3 linked regions of the Caenorhabditis elegans genome follow. The protein of the gene in region 3 purifies or fractionates together with the protein of the main gene of each other region. This does not show direct contact. Each region holds a gene or a part of one and is shown on either strand. Other genes may lie near its edges.

Region 1 (3,673 bases), on a different chromosome or scaffold from region 3:
TCTCTCACTCTATCTCTCTCTGTCTCTCTCTGTCTCGCCACGTCATATTTTAATGTTCATATCCCCCCGAGTCTGGTCACACTATCCTACAGTAACCAAGCCTACAGTCTACAGTAATCCTATATATCTATCAATATCTTATAATCTTTTAATATATATAATCCACACAGTTTAGCTGCTACAGTAATCCCGGCTAAATTTGTTCTCTAGTCTATTGGTTTTTTTTGAAAATTTTAAATTTTCCCCCTCACCCACCCACCCATTCATTTAAATCTCTCAGAAGCCTTAATTTTTAAATTTTCGCGCGAGTCGAACCTCGATCTCCCAGGTTTTCGCATTCCTTCCCACTTTTTTTTCCATCTTTTTTCCTGTTTCTTGGCTATTTTTTGGGAAAAGTATCAAATTTCTCTCGCGAAATTTGCGATTTCCCGAAAATTTGCCAACTTTCCACTGAGATTTTGGCGTTTTTTGCGCATTTCCACCTCTACCATCTGTACGGATTGCGATTTTTTTCACTGAAATCGAATAGATCACTATCAAGACAAAATTTCCAGGCTTTCAGGCTCTCATTAGGCTTGTCTGGACTATTTTTCTTGAAAAGAAGAAGAAGTAATAAATACGTTGTGATCTAAAAAAATATTGTGTTTTTTTTCAAAAATTCAGAATTACATAAAAGCATAAAATGAGATTCCAGTGTACATTAATCGAATGGAATTTGAAATTGGAAGAGAAAAAGTTTGAGATTTATCGGCCACTTTGGATTTGTCGGCTTTCCGTTTGGATTGGGGGCGAAGACGGGCGAGAAGGCGGATTCGAGGGCGATATTCTGGAAAATTTGAATTTTTTTCCCGTTTTTTGGGAATTTTTAGCCCAAATCGCTGGAAAATAGGCCAAAATCGATAGAATTTTTTGCAAAAAACTGGCGAAGTTGAATAAAAAAATAATTTTTTTTACAATTTTTAATGAATTTTTCCCATTTTTTCGCAAATTTTCGTCGTTTTTTGAGAATTTTCCGTTTAAATCGGTGGAAAATAAGCTAAATCGACAAAAATTTTCAGAAATATGTGGAAATTGGATTAAAAAACCATTTTCAGCGAATATTACGTAAATTTTGGTCGATTTTGGTGCATTTTTTGCCGATTTTGACTGGAGAAGTCATATTTTATGGTTTTTTTTTTCGTCGATTTTGGCCCATTTTCAGAAGATTTTTTTTTTGGCCAACTCACTGCAGGAGCTCATCATTGTATCCAATTTTTCCGTAATTTCCATCGTTCGAACCTTCTCCAGAATCGCTGAGAGCCTGGCGTAGATATTTGGACTTCTACGGCTGAAAATTATAAAATTTTAGTGAAAAATCATCAAATTCTGTAAGATTTACCCATCAGGGCGCCTCAATCGGCTGATAGTGACACGAAATCCGACGAGTTGAGTTTCCGACGGTGTTACCATGCATACTGGAAGAATTTCAAGTTATTTTTAATCAAAAATCATCTGAAATTAGCTAAAAAATTCAAGAATTTCGAAAAAAATGCAGAAAAAAAGATTTGCGCGTCAATTAAAATGCACTCAGTGCAAACACCGCAAGTGTACGCAGTGCATTGTATTTGACGCGCAAGTTTTATTTCTGGGTTTTAAAGCATTTCTACAGCAAAAAATACAATAAAATCAATTAAAAATCTAGATTTTAGGCCCAAAAACCTTCAAAAGCCAATAATCGTCCTGCCGCAATATATTGCTCCGCGAGCTGACAATTTTCTTCAACGTGTCGCTGAAATCGTGCATCCGGGCATTTCGAATGCTCATAATCCTGTCCAAACTTCATTTTCGGCCAATCCGCCGTGCTCGGCGAGCATCTTTCCATTGCCACGTAGCAAAATGACGTCAGAAAGTCGCAGAAAATGGCGGTATCCCGAAGATTGCCACCAACACGTCGGCGATGCTTCTTGCCGAGAATTACGTGGTGGGGAGGTTTAATGATGACGGCTTTGGCCGTTGTGATGTTAGTTGCTCGAAGAGATTTCATTTTTAGGGTCTTCCTGGGGAATCTGAAAAAAAAATTACCAAGACGTTTTTATCCTGAATTTTGCGATTTTTAAAAAAATTTTACAGAGAAAAATTCAAAAAAAAACCGCGCCGCGCTTGCTTATTCTAAGGCCCAGACGCCAAATTTTGTGATTTTCGCGCCAAAACTACGGTACCAGGTCTCGCCACGCCTTTTTTGAACTGCGAGCAGGTGTGCGCCTTTAAAGATTACTGTAGGAATTTTTTCAATCAAAAACTATGAAAAATCGGTTAAAATTCCACAGCAACCAAAGTTCGAAGTTACAGTAATTTAAAGGCGCACACCTGCCCAAAATGCTTTTTTCACGATTTTTCTCCAAAGTTGTAAATTTTAGAGAAAAAATCGTGTTGAAAACTCAATTTTTATGCAAAAGTCGGTAATTAGGCCATTTGGACTCGGCTACGGCCGGGGTAGATTTACGGAGCGGCGCGTGTCGCGTCGCGGCTAGTTTTTCATTGTAAAACTGAATAAAATGGTTTGTTTAACGGTTTTTAACGAAAATTTACAAAATTAGGTTTAATTTAACCTAATTTTGCAAATTTCAAAGGGAAATATTAAATTTTTCAAGTTTTTGAGAGAAAAATCGTAAAAATGCCCAATTTCAGCCAAAATTCGCGCGAAAATCCTGAAATTCAATCAATTTTCAGCGAATAAAATTACATGAAATATGTAAAAAACTCCTGGATAATCCCCAAAAAATTCCAACTAAAAAGTCGATATTTTCATTTGAAAATTGAAAATTTGTCGAAAAACTATATATAACTATATATCAGGGGAGGAAGGCGGGAACAAAAAAATTTCAAGGCAGCACAGAAATGGTAGAAAAAAAGAAAATATAATTTAATATAAATAAATCATTGGATAAAATTGGAATTAATATAGTAGGAATCCGGTTGTGGTATATAAAACTCGTTTTTTGCTTCTTTTCAGGGGGGAAAAAGGATGGCACAGGAAGGGAAACGGCGGGAAATTAAACTTAAATTAAAAAATTTTTTTGGCGGGATTAATTTGGGAAATTTGGAGGAAAATAGGAAAACGCGGATAAAAATGATGGAAAAATGGGATTTTTTTTCTTTTTCTGATAAAACTATGATATGATTATGAAACAAGATCAATGGCAGGGGCAGGGATGAATATAGGATAAATATTTGTATATATATATAGGTATTTAAATGGATAAAATGTCTAATTTCTTCTTCTTTTCTCTTCTCTCTCTCTCTCTCTGTACATAAAAAATCGATAATTCTACACACTAAAACAGTGGATTCTCGTGTGCCGTGCTGCGTCTCTTCTGCTTATTCGACTCTTTTCTCGGCATTTGAACTGTAATTCGCTTCACAATTTGTTGGAAACTCGGCCGCTTCTCCGGTTGGCTCGACCAGCATTCCAGCAGCAGTTCGTGCAATTTTCCGTCGATTTTTTGCAGCTGGGCGTCGAGCCGTTGAAGTGCCGCTTTTTGGCCGCACATTTTCGCGTAGAGCTTCTGATCCCAAGAGTCACAGCCCGTTGGCATACGGCGGAGCAGGAGTTCGAAGAAAATTGTACTGAAAATTGGGAAAATTTTCAAATTATTGATTTTTAAAACTTTAAATATAAAAAATGATAGTTTTT
Region 2 (4,474 bases), on a different chromosome or scaffold from region 3:
ATGAAATTTCCGGCAAATCGGCAAACCGGCAAATCACCCAAATTGTCGTTTTGTACAGTTTTTTTTTTGGAAATTTCAGAATTTCAATTTTAATCGGCAAAATTGTACGCATTCTATGAATGTTCCTACATCTGTTTCGAAAAGTACACAAATTCTATGAAATTATCTGAAGACAACGGGGAAAAAAATTTCAAAAAGGCGCAAATTTAAGTGTTTCGGTTTCATAAATAATTCCCTCTAAACACTTCCCGCAAATTGGTGTTCGGCAAACGGCAAATCGGCAAATAGCCTGAATTGAAAATATCCGGCAAATCGACAAACCGGCAAGTTGCCGGAATTGAAAATATCAGGAAAACCGGCAGTTTGCCGATTTGCCGAGTTTGTCGACAAAATTTGCCAAAATTGCCAAATGGCAATTGCCGCCCACCTATTGCCGGTTCAGTATTTTAATGAAACACTTCAAAATTTTAACATTTTTCAACATTTTCAGTCAAATTTTTGGTGAAAAAAATTCGAGAATCGCTGGTTTAAACCCTCACCAATAATTAAAAAATATTTGAAACACCATTGAATCCGCTCGTTGAAATTTTTAAAAGTTGTTTTTTTTTAATTTTTGAAAAATTTTACTACGATTTTTTTTTTCAATTTTAGGAAATTCATGTAGTTGCTTGAATTTTTTCCTTCCTCTTTCTGAATTTTTTTTGTATTTTTTGAAAATTCGGAAATAAAGGCTGTCAAAAAATGTAATTTTACAATAAATTGTATTCTCGCTTTTACATATTGAATTGAATTGAATTTATTACGATTGAAATCATGATAATAAACGTAATAAACATACGATAATAAACATACAGAAAACTAATAAACATACAGAAAATGAATTATCATCTGAAAAGTTGATTAGTTGGTACATGAATGTGCGGGTGTCAGGGAGATGAATAATGGGTAAAAGTATTAAACATGCATAGGACATGAGGTGCCAAAATAAGATTCATTGCGCAAGATTCATTGCGAAATAAGATTCATGTCCGAAGTTGACTTTTTTGGAATTATCGTCCTTTATTACATATATTGGTAGTTTATCTCATTTACTTTCGTTGATATAAGGTATATTTAAAGCCGATAGGTAACCAATTTCGATAATTTTTGGTTCCATATCGGCTAATATAACATACATAACATACATAACATGTGATATAACATACATATCTGAAAAGTCCCCTATTTTTGACAAAAAAACAACACCCAAAAATACCAGAAATGTCAAAAACTGCAGCGACCGACATCTTGTGAGTTCGCTTTTCCTGATATACTTCAATTGACTGGTTTAAAAACTCAGCTATCGATGGGCAAATTTTCGGCAAGTTTTCGGCATCAGGCGACCAAATTGCAAATCTTCGCAGTTGGCCAAACGTATAATTTTGTTGAACTCATATTTTAGAGCTTTTTTCAGTTTACAGTGTAATTTTTGCATTTTTCTGAATGCGAATTTTTTTTTCTCAAATTTTCACGTCTTCACACAGTTGCAACTCAATGTCAATTGTTAGACGGTTATTTTTTGATTTTCTTTTGGCCAGAAAAAATTGTCCAAAAAGCTTGTTTTTTTATCAAATGTAAAAAAAAACTCATCTAATAGTAAAGCTAAAATTTTATTCCAGTAGGGTCCAGAGTACCCGATGGGCACACCGGCCACACTCCAACTACACAGCTGACCCGCGCTTCTCTCCTCTTTTTCGTTTGGGTACGCAGTTGACGTCATATCTTCTTTCTTTTTTTACATGCCAGCTTCATGTTGTGCTTTATATTTTGTCTTTTTGATTTTCCAGCAATCGTTGTATTTTTTACGTTTCTAGTACAAAAATGGAGAAGGTCAGATTTTTTTTTCTAAACACAAATTTGATTAAATTTGATAATATCTCGTGAATAAAAATGTTTCAAATTGGTGATTTATGATACAAATTCTTTCAAGAAAATCAATAATGATTATGTCAAAAGGAGCATTTTCCACGCTACCCGCCACCGAGCCGAAGTTGTATTCAAAGTTGGTGCAGTTCCAAACCAAAAGGAGAAGATTGGTAGATTTAAATGCAGTTTATGAGGTAGGTTGACACTGAAATACTGATTTCTCAATTTAAAAGTCAGTTTTTCAGGACTCATTATCATCTGGCTCCCCATTGGGTACTGTGATTGGATTCCATGGAACTCCAGGGTCTCACAGGGATTTCAAGTATGTCAGGCAGCGATTGGAGCACATGAATATTAGATTTATTGGTATTAACTACCCAGGATTCAAGCAAACTCCAGGTAGTTTCAGTTAATTAATAAAAAACCATCAAATAATTAAAAATAAATTTCAGCGTACCCAGGTCAACACTTCGGAAACTGGGAACGAAATAGTTACTCAGAAGCTCTGTTAAACGAGCTAGATGTGCCGGGAAAAGTGATCATAATGGGGCATAGCAGAGGATGTGAGAATGCACTGATAACAGCAGCTAATCGGAAACCTCATGGACTAGTGATGGCTAATCCAACAGGGTTGAGGATTAATAAAGGGTCTCGTCCGAAGGGAAAGTTGGAGTCGCTGATTTATTTACATAAGAAATTGCCGAAAAAGATTGGAGATGCCATTTTGTATAATTGTGAGTATAAGCAAAATGAGAAATATGCCATAGGCCACTACCAAAAAATGTTTCAATGTGGTGTTTTACTACTGTTGAGGCTCGTCAAAATGCTTGAAAGTTGGATTTTTTCATAAACTTTTTCATTTTGGGAGCGTTTTTGATTAAAAAAAAAGCAAAAATCTGAAAAGTTTTCTGGATGTTGCCTACCCCTAGAGCAATTTTACGAGCTTCAGAACAATTGGAAAAATGTCCTGTAAAAATAAAATTTGAGATCGGAAATTTTCTAGTTCAAAACGCAGCAAAATTATTGGTAGTGGCTTATTTAAAGTGTAGTTTTGGCAGTTTAGGAATACGTATTTTCGTTAGACCTAAGTTTTTAAAAGTGGTGTACCGAAATCTGAGACTTTACTTTTTTAGATCCAAAATGACCCAAAACTACCAAATTTCGTAATGAGATGTTCTGAAAATTTTTCAAATAAAAGTTATGTCGGCTCAATGTTTTAGAAAAAACCCGTTTTTGAGAAACTTTCAAAACATCTCATTATGAAAGTCGATGGTTTTGGGTCATTTTGGGTCTAAATAAGCAAAGTCTCAAATTTCGGTACTCCACCTTTAAAGGATGTTCGAAATTTTCAGGGATACTTCAGATCTTATAAATTATTTCAATTTCCAGTAATGAAATTGGTTGGATTCAAAATTCATGATGGTGAAGAAGCCGTGGCGGTTATTCGAGCAATTATGAACTGTGACCTGGAAAAGCAACTGGAATACATTCTGAAATTAAATGAACTGCCCACAAAGACTATGATCACTTTTGGCGGAAGTGATCATTTAATTGAAAAGGAAATTGTTTTTGAAGCACTCAAAAAGTATCAGGGACTCGCGCATTTTGTAAGTTTTGTGATAGAAAAACTTGAAAAATTGGAAGGAATTTCAGAATTTCAAAGCGAATATCACAGAATCCGAAAAGCAGAAAATAATGGAAAGTTTCAAAAATCAAAAAGGAACATCTGTATTTATTGCAAAGGATAATCATTTTCAAAATAAGAAGCGGGCGGATTTATTGGCAGATGCTGCTAGATCAATGTTATTAAATTAATGTTTTGAAATTTTCAAATTGTTTAACTTTACAAACAAAAGGGAAATCTGCAACATGAACAATATTTTCAACGACTATAATTTGAGAACTGTAATAGTAATTTTATTCAATAATAAACTTACAAAAAATATTTAGCTTTTGAAATACTGCCCCAGAAAAAGTCAGCAAAAATTACAAAAGACAACGAATTTTAGGTGAACCAAAGTTTTTAATCGGCAAAAAAAAGAGTTTTTCAATTGAAGGTTGATGAAATATTTATTCAAAGTTTTTTAGGGAAGATAATACTTATAAACGAGAGGATAAGAGGAGGAAACTGGAAAATTTGAGGTTGGTGATTCTCTAAAGAGAAGGATTTACAGCTCTGGTTACATCGATGAGCTCATCTAAATCAACTTGACCATTTCTGTCGATATCGGTGTAACGGAAAGTTTTGCGAATCCCTTCGGCAGACAGCCGTGCTTGAAAGTTGCTGAAGAGGGGTTCCAGTTCAGCAACAGAGATGAAGCCATTTCCGTCTTCGTCAAACTCTTGGAACACCTTTTTAAAATTCTCTTCACTCTGTGCCAAGCCTCTTAGCGACAACATAGCTCCTGTTAGCTCCTGTAAAGCATCTATACAAATTGTTTCGAACATTATTAAAAACTCACTCCAAGAGCCTCATTATCCTGAGAACTTCCAAAATTTGGAATCCAGGCGAGAATGATGAGTAGGAAGAAGATAGAATTGATGGCTTGAATGTAAACTCACTTACAGG
Region 3 (3,773 bases):
TGAAAATACCTTGTTCATAGCTTGCAATAAATTTAACGCGTTGACCACATCATCACCTTTGAAAAATAAACTTGAGGACAAAGTCTCATAAATAACTAAAATTGTTTTTTGGTAATGCGGTATTTAAAACAATTATTGTGCTAGCCAACAACTTGTAATGTCCTGATAAAGAAAATTAGCGCACCGATCAAACTTTGTAATGCACTGAAAACTTTGACCCTGACCAGATTTTTCCACAAAATTCAATATACCAGATTTTTTACGAGATATCAAAATTTATAACTTTGCAGCGCAATTCTAAATGGATCTCCAGTGGAAACCATTGATCTAGGCACATGCTTCCTATCAAGTGAAGCTGTATCCCAAATTGTGCAAAGCTGGGAGCAAACTTCAACCAGCGACTTGACCATCATGTTGAGTCATTGTTATCCGGTCAACAAGTGAGTAAACACTCCATTTTTTTCGGTTTTAATTGTTCTAATGAGTACTTTTCACTTTGCAAGAAGTGTCTTTTGTTTCAATTTTCTTTGAGACTTCCTTGTTTTACGCGGTTTGAAAAAGTTTAAAAAAATACCACCGAAATAATTCATTGCAACAAAATCACACAATTTTTCAAGATCACAGTTATATTTTTTGCAGACCGGATGTGATCCGACTTCTACAGGATCGTAATATCACACTGAAGAAAAATCAACAATTACATTCCAAGAACCATATGCTGACACTTGTCTGTTAATGAAGATTATAATAAAGAATCAACACGTTATTACATTGAGGGATATGTTGTTTAATTGCCATTCTTAGATCCTCTGTAGTCAACTTTCTTGCCGTACTTTGAGTAGAATGTGACGGTGCATTGCGTTTTCTTTCCGGTTCTCTGAAATATATTCAAAAAATATTAAAAGCCTTCGCCGATTGACTAACCTCATCGAATGCATTGCAAGTACTATATGGAGGGATGTACAAGTGAAGAGAGACAGCTCCGTTTGAGTGACTCAAATTTTCCATTCTATGAAGACCAAGCTCATCTGAAAAATTGCAATGAAGTTGTTATTATGTTCCTAGCATTGTTTTCAAGTTTAGGCAACCATGTTGTAAAAGACAGATGCATTAAGTGTTTTCAAATATCTTACCATTCATATAGGAAACTCCATTCATTCCATAAGTCTTATTTTCTGAAATATCAAGTGGCACGTGTCGTTTTCTTGGCCAGGCATATTTGGTCTCAGTGAGCTCTCCATCAAGAATTTTCACAAAGCAATGAGCATCAGTATGATCGTGAACACTAAATTTCGTAAAATGAATGTTATATGATGATAAATCTCAGTTAACGTACCTGCTAGCCATACCGGGGCCCCAACACAAAATCATCAAGTTGTACTTTCCATTTCCAACATCCACTAGGTTTCTTGTGTATCTGTAAAAAAATAGTAAATTTTCGTGAAAAGACTTTTACCAAACTGACTTGAATTTATACTGTTCTAGTTCTATTTTCACCATCCTCTGCTAAATAATTGTTCGAAAAATGTTTTCTAATTTTATGAATTTGGTAAAAATGTTAAGATTTTCAATATTTCTTTTAACAGAACCAAACACCAATATAATACATCACGATCATTCATAATTTCCGAAGAATTCTAAAAATTACGCAGATCTTAAAAGTAGATTAGTCTGTAATCTCATCTTCCCCCAAAAATGCATTTCAATTTTTTCTGGAACAAACCAGCACTCACTTGTTCATATCGAAAATGGCAAATCTTCGCCACTCATTTGCGTTGCTTTTGTATGAAGCCATCAGCTTCATCACTTCGTCAACATCTATCAATTTCTGTTGGAAGATTTCACGAATTTGAACAACTAACTGAACAAATGATATCATTTTTCTGAAAACAGGAATGTTGTCATATTGAATAGTAAATAAAAAAAAAGTTGAAAATAAAATAAATAAACTCCTAAAGAAAATTTACTAACTGAAAAAAAGTAATGAAATAATACGAATCATAATTTCTTAGACGTCTCCAATAGGAATAAACAACTTCTAGTAAACCACCAAAAGCTTGGGGAACAATAATCCTATCAATGTTTCGAATGTTCAGAATAATCGGAAAAAATTGATATGATAGTTACCAAATTTGCAGAACACGGTTTTTTAGGCTCACATGCATAATGATACTCGTTTTGTGAACTGACCAAAAATAGATATTCACTGACCAAAAATAGACATGCACTGACCAAAAATAGATATGCACTGACCAAAAATAGATATGCACTGACCAAAAATGGATATGCACTGACCAAGAAACGTTAAGGACTAACCATCATAAAAATCACTAGGAATCCTGTTAGATAATAAATATAACTGTACACAATACACTTAGACTGACAAGCTCAAAATCTAAAAAACTTTATAATAAAATGTTATCAGTTACAATTACAGTAGTCACACATACAAGTAACGGCGAAATGCGAAGGGGAACACAACGTGACAAAACCAGTCATTTACAATAAGAAATCGCTAATCGACCATCGTTAACAGTTAAGGGAGAAGGAGATACTTTGTGAAAGAAAATATGAAAACGACGACAGATTGAATTAATAGTGACACTTAATGAGTGGAAACAAGAGAAAAAAGATAGAATCGGAAAAAGATCGGCAAAGCATTGCGAAAAATAAACTGTATGTCTATGTCTGCCACGTGAGATTCTGGTTTTTTCTTCTTTTGGAAATAATTTTTTGTTTGTTAGGTTGAACATTTAAACTTTTAGAAGTTCGAAATCCAACTGATCAGATTCAGTATTTATTAGGTGATTAGTGTTATCACAAGTTACCGTTACAAAGGGGCGTGGTTTGGAAATGACGTCATCTGATGTGAAACTGATGGCGTTAGTCGACTAATATCTTATCTTATCAGACAAAACCTTTGCAATTGTCACGTAAGCAAGGCATTTTTGTAGTTTACAGTAATATCGGGACTTCCCGTTCTTGAAGTTTTGAAAATTGGAGATCGATCTGGAAGGGAGTTATGTACAGGCATCTAGTAATTTTGAAGAGGCAACTATTGACAATCTTTAAAGTTTTATTTTTAAAAATTAGATTTGATAGGTATTAAAGAAACACTCTCCTAGAAATTATAGATTCTTCAATTTTTCCAAACGTACAAAAAATACGAATTTTTCCATTTTCTCTAATCGCCTGCAATAGTGTAGCATGTTTCAAAAATTAAAAATCGTTTAAAATTAGTTTTTCATACGCAACGTATATATTGACAAAAAAGGCAAAGACCGAGGGCAAATAAATAACATAATAAAGTTTAAAAAAAACCACCATTTCAAACAAAATTAATATATATCAACAGGAAAACGATTTTTAAAAAAAATGCATCTATGACTTGTGCGTACTGCTCCAACCGCGAAAGTTCAAATTCACCGTACTTCGCTGTAGTTCGGAGGATTTGATGAGGAATGCCACGTCACCATCACGTGATAAACAACTCGAGTTTAGTGCCATTACGTCGATTGGCTGAAAAATTCTAGTTTAGAACGGAGAAAAGCAAAATTAGACATTGTGCAGGAAACTTAACCACTTCTCAGCGCCACCTATGCGTTGACCTTTCAGAATTTTCAGAAGGCAACACGTGCACACTTGGCGCGTGCTAGCGGCTGGCTTAAAAAACAACCAAAAACAAAAAAGAAATCCGTCGAACCGGATTCGAACCAGTGACCTAAGGATACCTGCTGACTCTACAGTCCTCCGCTCTACCAACTGAGCTATCG

Evidence for each region.
Region 1: the proteins of cdo-1 (region 3) and F58D5.9 fractionate together in Caenorhabditis elegans (co-fractionation; one large-scale study listed by BioGRID). This does not show direct contact.
Region 2: the proteins of cdo-1 (region 3) and K08D9.4 fractionate together in Caenorhabditis elegans (co-fractionation; one large-scale study listed by BioGRID). This does not show direct contact.

The regions. Positions count from the first base shown.
Region 1 is NC_003279.8:12,044,571-12,048,243, forward strand, and holds F58D5.9 (Cystatin domain-containing protein), read right to left. Parts: upstream 2,049-3,673; 5' UTR 2,024-2,048; coding exon 1,699-2,023; intron 1,455-1,698; coding exon 1,379-1,454; intron 1,328-1,378; coding exon 1,227-1,327; intron 827-1,226; coding exon 666-826; 3' UTR 631-665; downstream 1-630. Other genes in the region: ksr-2 (Kinase suppressor of Ras B), read right to left, coding at 3,315-3,606.
Region 2 is NC_003283.11:3,197,919-3,202,392, reverse strand, and holds K08D9.4 (AB hydrolase-1 domain-containing protein), read left to right. Parts: upstream 1-1,969; 5' UTR 1,970-1,979; coding exon 1,980-2,099; intron 2,100-2,150; coding exon 2,151-2,304; intron 2,305-2,357; coding exon 2,358-2,639; intron 2,640-2,732; exon of another isoform or gene 2,733-2,753; intron 2,754-3,294; coding exon 3,295-3,512; intron 3,513-3,558; coding exon 3,559-3,720; 3' UTR 3,721-3,849; downstream 3,850-4,474. Other genes in the region: Y73C8B.5 (EF-hand domain-containing protein), read right to left, coding at 4,060-4,320, 4,368-4,450.
Region 3 is NC_003284.9:861,696-865,468, forward strand, and holds cdo-1 (Cysteine dioxygenase 1), read right to left. Parts: upstream 1,884-3,773; 5' UTR 1,880-1,883; coding exon 1,734-1,879; intron 1,512-1,733; exon of another isoform or gene 1,490-1,511; intron 1,418-1,489; coding exon 1,337-1,417; intron 1,286-1,336; coding exon 1,134-1,285; intron 1,029-1,133; coding exon 925-1,028; intron 878-924; coding exon 788-877; 3' UTR 737-787; coding exon of another isoform or gene 640-736; 3' UTR 572-639; downstream 1-571. Other genes in the region: F56F10.2 (F-box domain-containing protein), read left to right, coding at 291-440, 640-736; lgl-1 (Lethal giant larvae homologue 2 domain-containing protein), read right to left, coding at 3,382-3,519.